Linked DNA regions of Yarrowia lipolytica. The protein of the gene in region 3 interacts with the protein of the main gene of each other region in a biochemical or structural test. Links are inferred from orthologs where the notes say so. Each region holds a gene or a part of one and is shown on either strand. Other genes may lie near its edges. The genes, in order: YALI1_F02697g, YALI1_C00913g and YALI1_B14418g.

Region 1 (5,102 bases), on a different chromosome or scaffold from region 3:
TCGTATTTCTGTGGGGACACGTTTCCGTCTTTCTTTCACGCAGTGGGACAAGAGGGTTCACGGGCAGATATCCGCTCTCGTGTCTTAGATAGTGAGCACTTCATATGATAACAGAAGCGAGTCAGGGGGGTCTGGTAAACCCGAACTGTACGGGAAATTACGTTACCCGACCCATACAAGTCCGGCAAGTACGGCTGGTATCTATTGTATTTCGGTTCATACAAGAGGGGCTGTGTGAGACGGGTTGGAAATACTGTAGTCACATGGTTGGCTTGGAATGTGATAAACTGATACAAGTGTGGTCTCGAACTGGTTATATAGACCTGTCGGGTGACTTTCTGTGTGTTTCTAAATCGTCGGATAGATGTCACTCGTCAGATATGCTCTTATATGGGCACAACCCATTCACACACCTGCCCGCTCGCCATACATACGATGTATGTACGATGATCGTCGTCATGTTTGGGTACTGTTTGGAGTGTTACACCTGAAACAAGCGATGGTGAAACATGCAAGATTGACCATATCAAGTCCATCCTTGTTGCTGGGCTGCCGGTACCACGTACGACACGTGTTTATTACGAGACGTATTTTGATTAGAAGCTGACACAAGTACATACAAGGATCGTACTGATAATTTTTGCGTCTACGATTCGTATCTTGATGCATACTATTGTATCGTATTGTACTCATAGCGCAGTTTTGGAACGCGTCTGATTGAAAAAAGTACAATGGGTGCCAAGACCCCTGAATGACAATACGTAATAATAAGGCCAGTGTTCAAATACAGCGATGAAATTGGCGGTACAAATAGGACGAGTTTGACATGTGTTGACGGTGGAGAACGAGCCGTAGGGAGAACATCTGACGAGTAAATTCCTCTTTCTTTTTCCTTCATTCCGTCGATGTCTCTACAAGTGCGGTTCTTCCTTCCACTTGGACCCGTTCACAGATTCACCTCTTCCTCAACTTACTGTACCTACGGAACTCTCCCAACTCTACACGCGTTTACCACCGTGCACTGGGCAATGGTGGCCCGGGCAGAAACAAGCCCGCCAGAATGGAACCATAATTATCTCCCATAATATTCACCTCCGGGTTGCTTCTGGGCTGTCCGTCCGGCTTCACTGTCTTACACCCATCTTCAGAACCGACGAGCCCCCACACCTTCTGTTTTGATGTGTGTGTGTGTGCTCGCTCGGATAGGCTTCTAGGTTTCGCGCTCTGAGGGTGATGGACGCATGCGCCTGTTTGTTTGCCCCCATCAGACCGCTACCCTGGGCCATGCATAGACTTTGGGAGTGACGCACCGCTCCGCACATCATCTCTGGAGACAGACCCGTCCCAATCTCCCCCAACCCAACACCACCATTGTTCGCGTCTCCAAACCCCAGAGGCACCCCCCAAGTGCTCACCTACCGTTCGCGCCACCCACACGACACGTCACACGCAAAGCAGCAGGACCGACCGAGCAACAGGTCTGCGTTTGTGACACGACTGGACCTCCAGAAAAGTTTTGCATTTCTTTGCACACGCTCCTTTTTCTACATTCCTCACCCACAATCGCATCAACTAATTTTTTTTGGGGGAAAAACGCCACCAGACGCGATACACAAGGACGAGACAGACGACACGACAAGAAACAGACGACACAACCTGACCGGAATTACAACTACCGCCAAACTACAACACTCACACCGTGATCGACGCGTCAACACGACATACCCATACTCACATGTACATGAGCTCGGCCACCCCCTCGGCCTCCCCGTCGCCTCGCCGGCGCAAACACCGCCCCGACTCGGTGGCACGCTCCTCCATACCGTCGCTGTCCAAGGTGAAGCTCAAAAAGAGTAAGCCCAACACGCCACAGCTGTCACCGTCGCTGTCGCTTGACGACTCAGCGTCAGACGCCCTTATCAACCTCTCCATCCACCGCAACAACACGGTGGCAAATCTCGACGACCTACCGCCAGACCTCTCGCCGTGCCCCAGTCCCAGCAAGCAGCGCGCCTCGGAGCCCCCCACGGTGTACTCGTCAACCATGCAGCCCCTAAGACGCTCCAAGGGCCTCTACAACCTCGAAGAGGCGTCCAACCTGTCGCTCGAAGATATCAACATGGACAGCAGCCCCAGCAGGAGCCACCGACCGCGCCACTCGATGATACTCCATGATTCTGACCCCAATTCGCCGGTCAAGGCGCCTCCATTCAAAAAGGCCGCCATCCAGCAAGAGAATGTGCCTCCTGGAGGAGGAGGAGAACGACGATTGTCAGATAACCCGCCCACGATCCATCTCATGTCGTCGTCGGTCGAATCATCGCCACCAACACCAACGCATCACCCCCACCACTCGCACCCGCACCCTCATCATCCTCAACCCCATTTGCATCCTCTCGTCAAAACAAAGATAGCTGACGTGGAACACAAGGAGTACGGCACTCCAGACTCGTTCCGGTTCGTCAAACCGCTGCAGACTGCGTTCATGAGCACGGGCTTGCTTTCGAAACGAACGCGCAACCTGCCCAACTCATCTTCTGGCCACTCTCTCGTGCCTCCAGATACGCCCTGCAAGAAACCCAGCGGCAGTTCGAGCTTGCAGGACGTGCACGGACTCAGAGGAGACGGAAACACACCCCGGCCCTTCACCAGCAGTGTCTCCCACGAGGGTGTCAGCATGCTCGGAAGCAGTCACAGGTCTGCGTCCTCCGGTAGAGCTCACAGAGTGCCCCTCACAATCAACACCACCGGCCACCAGAATATCCCCTCAGGCCCTCCAAGCGGGCTGCGTGATTCAGCATCACGCTTTGCATTCGACCTGCGTTCGGCAGTCTCCTCGTTCATGGACGACGTTCCCTCCACGCCTACGAAGCCCCTGGAGGAGAGTGAGTCGTTTCCATCCGTCCAGCGAACTCTCACTACTAACAACCATGATGACAGCAACGGCAGCAGCAGCAATAACAGCAGCACGAATCTGGGACCCTACAGACGAGCGTCTTACATTGGTTCTTTGACATCCTTGTCTTCTCTGGCCAAGGCAAGTCACCAGCGGTCAGATGGGTCGCAGATCACCATTACCCCTGGGACTATCACTCGTCAGGCCTCGTCCATCATGGAACCAGAGACCCCTCTTGGAAATGGAGACAATCCCTTTAACTCGCCCAACTTCTCCAGTGATCCTACCTTTGCAGATCCCCGGACACCGGCCAAACGGTCTTCCCAGGACCAATCTGCTGAGAACATGATTGCTGGCGAGTCGTGGCTTAGTCAAAAGTTTGACAGCGTCTCTCTGATTGGATCTGGCGAGTTTTCATCCGTTTACACGGTCACCGAGCGCGTTAAGATGCCTGCGGGTTCCTCGGTCATCCTCACGCCGCCCAACCGTTACGCTGTGAAGAAGATGAAGTACCCCTTTGCCGGCCCCAAGGCTCGTGCTCGACGAATGGAGGAGGTCGAAGTTCTTCGTAAGCTGACCGAGTCGAAACGTGACGAAGACGGGCGCGATTTCATTGTCCAGCTTGTCGACTCGTGGGAGTACCATGGATTCCTGTTCATCATGACTGAGTACTGCGAAAACGGCAGTCTGGATGTTTTTCTGGCTGAAAACGGCCGAATCGCGCGTCTGGACGACTGGCGAGTGTGGAAGATTCTCGTGGAACTTGCCCTCGGTATCCGGTACATCCACAACGAGGGCTTTATGCATCTGGACATCAAGCCAGCCAACGTGTTCATCACTTTTGAGGGCACTCTCAAGATTGGCGATTTTGGAATGGCAACAACATGGCCAGCAGCTCGGGGAATCGAGCGGGAGGGAGACCGGGAGTACATCGCTCCCGAGGTGCTGAGTCGACAGGAGTACGACAAGCCTGCGGATATCTTTTCGTTTGGTCTGATTATTCTGGAGATTGCTGCCAACGTGGTTTTGCCCGATAACGGCATCCACTGGCAGAAGCTACGGTCTGGCGACTTGACCGATGCTGGTCGGCTCTCTTCTGGCGACCTGGCTGGATTTGATCATCAGTTTGGAGAGCCTACTTCTTCCCAGGGCCAAGAACGAGACGCGATTGAGTGCGGGAGCAAGTCGTACGAGGAGGATGGGGGAGTGCTGAGTCCATCGTGCATGCCTCCGTTTGACCACCACGGTATCCACTCGTCTTCTCTCCGAAGCTGCACCACGGCTAACACCACCTCTTCTAGCGGTGTAAGCACCGGTTCTTCCAGGTCTGGCACTGCTGGAAACGGTGGAGCCAGCACGGGCAACACTTCCAGCTCGACAAACATGCATCCCCCAGTGATTAGGCGAAGCTCTGCGGCCCCCGACTGGGCTCCTTTGTTCCTCACCCAGGATCTCGGTATTCTGGATTCATTGGTGTCTTGGATGCTGACTCCTGATCCTCGAGGCCGTCCCACAGCCGACGACATTCTTGCCACCAGTGAGGCTGCGTGGGTCGAGCACCATCGCAAGGCTGGCGCTGTAGTTTACGAGGGCGATTTTGGGCCTCCTCCGGGCAACTCAGATGACGATATGTGCCATATTTCTCCAGATGAAGATAACTGGCGGATGGAGTTGTGATTGAAAGGGTATGTATGATAGATGAGGGATTGAAGGATATTGGGAATATATTTATTGCATATTTAATGATCATCGACATTGAGTGTCATGGGTGCGGGATGTAGGAACGTCTGAAAGGGGCTGTACATAATGTGCAGTTGTACACAGTGCTGTAGACATGTTCAGATATACGTACATAATCGCAGCACTCACATTAATGGTTACCGTGACTTTGGTGGTCTGATTTAAGATCTGCTACTAGTGTGGATGGTGAGATGCTAGTCTATTTGGGTAATGTAATTGAACAGTCAGATATGATATGATAACTACAAGTAGCCATATGTCAGACATGTACCTCGTAGTAGCTGTACAATAGTGACATGGTCTTTGGTCATGTTGTGTATGCTTCATGGGTATGGCCAGTTTGGTCGCAAAATACGACATGATAATAAAGAGCAAAGTTTAGATGTTAGTTTGAGCAATCCATGGAGTGGGGGCAGGGGGATTGAGTGTGGATCTAGCTTGTCAGGGCAGTCCTAGCGGGTGGAGC
Region 2 (3,983 bases), on a different chromosome or scaffold from region 3:
TAGTACAGCTTTGGCAGCATTCTTCGAACCAACTTCAAGTTTGGATATAATTTGATTTGATTTGATATAATTGATTGTACTGCTGTACAGTATTACCAGTATTGTATTGATTCAACCAAGCGGCCATGACAAGAGCAAGATGAAGTGACAAAGATATTTGCAGCCTCGAACTCATCGAAATGCGCGCACACCGAAACGAGCACCTAAATGTTTATCTGTGTATGGTTTATTGGACGCCAATAACCCGGCTTATTGCAAGTACAGTAGGTCAGTATATAGCTGTAACGGATTATTAGAATATTTTTTCTTCTTCCTGGAATAAAAGAAAGCTAACTCGAATTTGACACGGATTGACAAGTACGGGAGCCAATAGTACAGTATGTATCCGTATAAAGGTGGCACACGGCTCACTGTGCTATCATAGAAACTGCTGTCTGATACCCCAGTGGAACTACAAAAACCACATCATCTGGTTTCTCTCACTCTACAGCAAGTTGTTCGTTAATGCAATAAATTAATCTACAAATACTTTTGCAACCACTCCACTTCAATGGCTGATGCAATGTCCATTCTCTGGACGTTGAGAGTGACCTTTCGCTGCACATAGTCATCTCGAATGCCGTACACTTCTCCCTTTGAAGCTCCTGTTCCTCCCTTGGAAGCTCTTCCCTTACCATTGATACCCAGGTTCTTCTTGCCACAGATACCGGTGATGTTGATAACCGAGTACGACTCCAGTGCGCTACAAACATCGAGAAACTCGTTGAATGGCAACGGGGACAGCATGCGGTGTTTCTTGCAGCTGCTGGTGTAGTGATCAAAGAGTCTCTGGATAGTGAGAGGCACATCGACTCCAGAGGTTATGGCTTCAATGGAGAGCTGCTTTTCGGCAGACGCCACTGTGCACAGGACGGCCTTTTGCTGGAGATTGAGCATCTTGATTCGCTGTGAGTTATTTCCTCCAAACACCTGGCTGCATACTCTTGCCATGGTTGCAATTGAGACGACTGGTTTAGAGACTGTAGATGGGTCGTTTTGAGCCAGTTTCTGGATGAACTCTTGTTCAGAGATTTCCAGAGCCTTCCGACAAATGTCAAAGGCCTTTCTCAGGTCTCCAGTGTTTGCCGATGCTTTTCTGGCACACAATTGGATCGCAGCAGGGTGGATGGCCATGGTGGTTGGGGCCACAGCAGGTGTCTTGTCTGTAGGAGTGTGAGGAGGGGTTAGAGTGAGGGTAGTAGGGTCAATTTGAGTCTTTTTGGGTGTGTTCAGGGGGGACAGAATCAAGTCTTCTTCCTTCTTAACGACAACCTCTTTTTTCAGGGAACTGTGCTCCCTGGAGAACTCGTCTGATGCCTTCACAATACGAGACTTGATGATGGAGGCAATCTGAACCGCGTCATAGGGCTTGAATTTCAACAGCTGAGGGTAGAAATTATTCGCCTTGAGTCGTGGCAGAAATCTATCAGTCAAATCCAGAGCATTAGCAATACCAACGAGAATCAACCGCGAACCCTTGCAGAAGGCCCATTCGAAAATGCGAAACAGAATGTCCTGATCTCTAGTCATGATATGGTCGATCTCGTCGAGCACCACGATTGACGTGCCTCGCTCAGCAAACTCTTTAGAAGTCTGGCACATGAATAGCTCCTCGAGTTTCGCCACACTTTTGTCAAACGAAATGTCTGCGGACAAGGCCTCATTCTCCTCAACCCCACTCAACTGTTTGTAAATGAGGTTCATGATGGCTCGCGCGCTCGGAGCCAGCATGCAGTTGATACTAGCAACCTTGATTCCCTCCTTGCCCCGAAATACCTTGTCCATGACTCTCTGAAGGAGGGCCGTCTTGCCTGTACCTGGAGGTCCACTCACGTACAGTGCAGCACCAGGTTGAGAGTACTTTGCCTGCAGTCTGCCTTCAAAGTAACGCAGCAACGTTGCTTCCTCAACTTGTCGACCAACCATTTCCTGGTCAGCAGCCAGGATGTGTCCCTTGCTTCCTCGAGAAAACATGCTCTTGATTTTGTTCAACTCGACCAAGTGGGGATGAAGCGGAGGTGGTGATGCGAAAGACGACCCTGAAGTGGCCGAGGAATCGGTGAATGGATCACATGACTCTCTCGGAGGAGACAACACACGAACTGAGTCGTCCTCAAAACACTCCACCTTGCGTCGCTTCAAACACAAGGGTTCCGTGGACACCCCTCTGTCCACCTCTCCAACCTGCTGACCCCCCATATCTTCTCCCTTGTTCACCTCGAGCTCCTTGAGAGGCACCCGGATGGGCTCCCGTCGCACTCGCTTCTGTGGTCGTTTCGGTGTTGCAACTGCCATCGTTTTGTGTGTATTGAAAAGGATGTGTCGAAAGATGTTACGTGCGCCCTCCCACTTATATCAATTACATGTCTGTTTTTGGCTTAATGAAAAACGCTAATTGTGTGCAGATGCGTTGACGCGTCGGAATGAGCAAAAACGCCAGGAAAACGAAACCAAATCGGGCCATTGCGCGTTCCATTGGAATGGTCACGTGATAAACCATGGCTTCGACGCGTTGCACCGGAAAACCGTCCCCAATATCCTTCAATAGGCGCCCTCATCTTTGCGCCCCTACCGTCAATCCAATTAATGCAATGCACCAGCCTCAATTCTCACCAGAATAAAGTTGGAGGTGAAGGGAATGTGGGTGAGAGAGAGAGAGAGAGGGAGAGAGAGAGAGAGAAAAGGGAAGACAAGAGCATCAACAAGAGAAGAGATGGAACCCGATATATATGACAGTACACTTGTACAATCACGTGACCCCTCCATCCGATGTCGCATATTACTCGTTATCCACTCTGCGCTTCAACTACGAGCCGCTATCCTCTTCATACAGCACATGCGTCAAAGCAAAACACGCGAGGTCACCTACCAGACCGTGCAGACGTGACCCACGCAGGAGGGCGACGCGTGTTGGGACAAGGGAGAGAAAGTGGAATATTGGGGGAGGTGAAATGGATAGGCAAAAACGGACGAAAATAATAGGACAAAATAATGACCATACTAAACAGGGACTGAATATAAGACCAAATAAGACGTTTCAGCGTTCTTTTATACTCTCTCGAACGATTTATATCTATGGTAAGACCATATCAAACGCTTCTTGAAGCACACCACCAAACATGGCTGCACATGATTGACGCAGATCTGGGCTGATGGAGGGCGTGGAGAAAGGATGTGGATAAAGAGCAGTGCTGTGCAAATCACGTGATACAAATCGAGTGTCGATTTCCATGGTCATTGTTTCTACTAGCTCTGAGAGTTGTACCTGTTGTGGGCTTCGTTGGTCTGCTGTTATTGTATGGCCAGCCTCCTCCACTTGTATAGTTGCAGATGTAGAGGATAAATATTATAGAATATCGGGGTTCATTTTAGACAGTATATAATAATGGCAATCTTCAAACAAACTTACTGTATATAATGTAGTTGTATTTTCTCATGGATTGTCCAAGTGATGTGCTGAAATACGATACTTGTTGCCCTGCGATGTTTGCACAATGTATACTGAACAACAATTCGGTCATTTTTTAAAAAAATGACAAGCGGTGGGAAAAAGTGCATCAATAGATTTGGGAGAACATTCCGAGTCCAATGGTAGTATGATATTTACATTTCATGGTGCAAAACAGTATTATTTTCTCATTCTAACACTTCAAGATTGTTCTCTATTTTGTTCAGTAACCTCGGGGCTGATTCGGCCTGTCTTGTCGGGCACCTTTTCAGTCCTGTGGCCCACAAAAGTAACAAACACAGACCAAAGTGACCATTTCTGAAAAGACTGCTTCACTCTCTCTAAACGAAGGAATCTGTGGACGATTGAGGACTGACACATGTCAGTGCTGACCGTCACTTGTGTGCTCAGCAAAAAACAGTATTCAAACAAGACAAGCCATATCCAGAGAGCAGTCAACATACCGTACTCGGCCATTGCCTCAGAAAAGACATTC
Region 3 (3,412 bases):
GTGTACAGGTATATTCACACTATCTTTACAAGTAGCTAGTAGAGCTGCAAACATGCCCTTCTCAATCTATAATTGCCCACCTCATCATGATCCTAAGAAGGGATGTCCCTCATACAATTTAACTGTAAAACAAATGCTCTTACGCACGGCTATGCTTCTTACTGTATATACAACTCACTCATACTCGCACGGCTGTATCCATAATAGAATACAAGCCTGTCAGCTCAGTCTCAAGGTACGATACTGTACTGTCCCATTGTAGCTTCTATACAAAAGTATCCAAGTAAAGACACGCGTCTGACACATGCACTAGTTGTACTCATGCTGTCGAGACACCATGGAGAATGGCTACCGTACAAGCTTGGCCAGTAATCGTATCGGCACCACTACAATCGACGATACAATTTGCAGTACATGCCATGCCTACACTCCACGCAACCACTAATATGCCATGTAATCATTATAGAATCCTTCTCAAGTGTAATATCAATCTCGTTCATAGACCTTTCTCCTCCGTCTCCAATTATGCTCTAGTGGACATCATGAGCCCCGGACCTGCAGCAGCGTTATATCCACTCTTCATGTTGGTTCCCACGTCAAAGTAGGCGTGGTCGGCAGCCCGCTTGGCCGAGATTCGGCATGCAGGATCGTATGCCAGCAGATGCTCCAGCAGATCGAGACCCTCGTGATCCAATGGAGTCACTGTTCGACCAATGTCTTTGCGGCTCCACTGGGGGAATGTGGGCTTGTAGTCGGGAAGAGCTGTCACGCCGGGCCAGGTCTCCTCGGTGGGGGTGCCCAGCAGTCTGAAAATCTTGAAGATCTCGTCAATCTCCGAGTCTCCGGGGAACAGGGGCTTTCGGGTCACCATCTCGGCAAAGATACAGCCAATGGACCACATGTCCACACCAGTGGAGTATTGTCGACCTCCCAGAAGAATCTCAGGAGCTCGGTACCAAAGTGTGACAACCTCGTGGGTATAGGTTCTGAGAGGCACACCAAAGGCCCGGGCCAGACCAAAGTCGGCCAGCTTGAGGTTACCCTCCCGGTCGATGAGCAGGTTCTGGGGCTTGAGATCCCGATGCAGGATTCTGTGTGCGTGGCAGTATCGGGTTCCCAAAATGAGCTGGTTCATGAACTTCTTGACCATGTCGGCGCCGAGACCTACGCCGGGCGAAATGCTCTCCATGTACTTTTTGAGATCCAGGTCGAGGAACTCAAACACCAGGTAGAGCTTGTGTGAGTCGGAGTGGACAATGTTGTAGAGCGACACAATGTTGTCGTTTCGCATTTCCTTGAGCAGTGAGATTTCTCGAATGGCTGTGGAAGGCACTCCCTCGTCCTCGGCTTCCAGTCGGATCTTCTTCAAGGCCACCAAACGGTTATTGTTGAGAGTATCTCGTGCCTTGTATACCACTCCGTATGTTCCTGAGTTAGTACGAATAGATGCGGTGCTGTGGATTTTTCAGAACTGCTCGTGTAGACACGCGCCGTAACGTGTCATGAAGTTCTTCCTTGTATCTCGTCATGTGTGGGTCTTGTAGAGCTCACAGGCGCTTTTGCGATGCTCGAGGTAACGGGATGATGTAGACCTACACGAATACACCGTACTGTCCCAGAGTCATATCAACGCTCAACACCATGTGCCACACAACTAAGGTCTTCATCATCACACCCAAGTTCCTCCACAGCCTCTTCACAAGTCAACAAACACTCCAACCACACATCATACTGACAGCAGTGGCCGTAAACAAACCGCTCCAGTTGTACATCTCTGCGATCCCAAACAAGCATGCAACCGCTCCCGATACCCAAATACTCACCCTCTCCCACTTTCTCCAGCTTCTGGTAATGATTTAAGTCGACCATGGGTATCTGATAATGCTGCGTCACTTAACAATTTGCCATGTTGCAAACGTTTTGGTTTTGATGCACCCATCCCTTGCCCGTTGCGGGGGCAACCACTCCTCCCAACCCAAACCCAAACACTCAATCGGACACGGTCTCCTCCCAATAGGGAACCCAGCAACAACGCGTCATGTAAAAAGCTTGGTGTCTCCCTCCCAACTGAACCACGCTAACGCTCAAAACGTGAGCTGCCACATGCGGCTGCTAATTACAGTATTATGACACGGCTGTCCTTAGGATAAAAGAAACCAAGCGTGCGAGTGTACAAGTCATACTACTTATACTTATACTGTTACAGCCGAGTAAATAAGTGTATCACGCGATACAATTACGCCTGCGTATGGTGTCATGTGACTGCAAAAATCACATGATGTTATCATCATATGACCACGCGTCCCTCTTCACCTGTTTTCTATTGTTTGGTCGTTTACTGCGCTGTTTCATGCATGCTATAGCGTGGGTCTGAGATGTCAACCGCGAGACAAGGCCGCCAACAGGCAGGCACATGTACAATACGGTAAAGAGACCTAAACGCAGACTCCTACTTGTAGTGTGGCCAAAGAAAAAGCACTGCGCCTGTCTTCTGAGATCAGCCTACTTACTTACCCCTTGATCTTCGTATTCAAAGAAGATGATCAAGATGATCTTCGCGTTTTTTTGACTTCCAGATCAAAGGTCCATGGAACAGGAAGCGCGACCTAGTAGACTGAGGACGTGAAAAAGCTGTGATACTGATGTTCTCGAAGACTCCCTACAAGTTTTGTGCTGATTATTATCAACAGCGAGTCCACTCTACTACTCGTGCGTTCTACGGTACGTACCTTACTACAAGGATGTACTGGTATATTACTCATCTAATTATACTGTACACTCCATAGATATCCACCTATTACTGATTAAATATTACATAACACCCAGACTAGTTCTTGTTGGCAGCGTTGGCTACAGGGATACCGACACCCAGACCAACGGCGAGAGCCACAATGATGAAACAAATGAGCAGACACCACCACTTCTTCTTTCGGTAGGCTCGGGCCTTGATGACGGCCTTGTTGGTGTGCCCGAGACCCTGCTCGATATCTGTCTGCACGCCCTGGGTCTGGTTGTCAATGTGCTGCACAGGGGCCTCCTGCTCGGCCACAAGCAACTCCATGTCGTGGAACAGCTGGGCCAGCTCCGACATGGTCTGCTCGATCTTCTGGATCTCCTTGTGTCGGTTCTGAACCTCGGAAAGGGCCGTCTGAGCCTGTCCTCGTCGGTTGGACGTCATCAATGCTTGGGAGAAAATCTGCTCGCCCTGGGCGTCGTCAATGGCGGAACGCACCTCGGCGTCAGTGGCCTCGGGGCGCACAATTCGGTATTGCCGCTCAGCCCGCTCTCGGTATCGCTGTCGGAACGTGGCCTCGACGGTCTGGTACCGCTGGATGGAGTTCATGAATTGCCGCTTGAGGTTCTCGGCCTGTGTCTTTTTGGTAGAGTCTCTGGTGGATCGCGATTGCAGGGA

Evidence for each region.
Region 1: of the proteins of YALI1_B14418g (region 3) and YALI1_F02697g, one has a biochemical effect on the other in vitro, tested with the Schizosaccharomyces pombe proteins (3 studies listed by BioGRID). The link is inferred for Yarrowia lipolytica from reciprocal best matches to the Schizosaccharomyces pombe genes cdc2 and wee1.
Region 2: of the proteins of YALI1_B14418g (region 3) and YALI1_C00913g, one has a biochemical effect on the other in vitro, tested with the Schizosaccharomyces pombe proteins (2 studies listed by BioGRID). The link is inferred for Yarrowia lipolytica from reciprocal best matches to the Schizosaccharomyces pombe genes cdc2 and cdc18.

The regions. Positions count from the first base shown.
Region 1 is NC_090775.1:266,361-271,462, reverse strand, and holds YALI1_F02697g (uncharacterized protein), read left to right. Parts: upstream 1-1,735; coding exon 1,736-4,573; downstream 4,574-5,102. Other genes in the region: YALI1_F02701g (uncharacterized protein), read left to right, coding at 1,234-1,249, 1,303-1,703. UniProt on the Schizosaccharomyces pombe protein: Protein kinase that acts both on serines and on tyrosines. It acts as a dosage-dependent negative regulator of entry into mitosis (G2 to M transition). Phosphorylates and inhibits cdc2.
Region 2 is NC_090772.1:89,063-93,045, forward strand, and holds YALI1_C00913g (uncharacterized protein), read right to left. Parts: upstream 2,335-3,983; coding exon 520-2,334; downstream 1-519. UniProt on the Schizosaccharomyces pombe protein: Part of the checkpoint control that prevents mitosis from occurring until S phase is completed. Plays a key role in coupling S phase to start and mitosis. Acts at the initiation of DNA replication and plays a major role in controlling the onset of S-phase.
Region 3 is NC_090771.1:1,440,390-1,443,801, forward strand, and holds YALI1_B14418g (uncharacterized protein), read right to left. Parts: upstream 1,870-3,412; coding exon 1,824-1,869; intron 1,429-1,823; coding exon 524-1,428; downstream 1-523. Other genes in the region: YALI1_B14441g (uncharacterized protein), read right to left, coding at 2,828-3,412.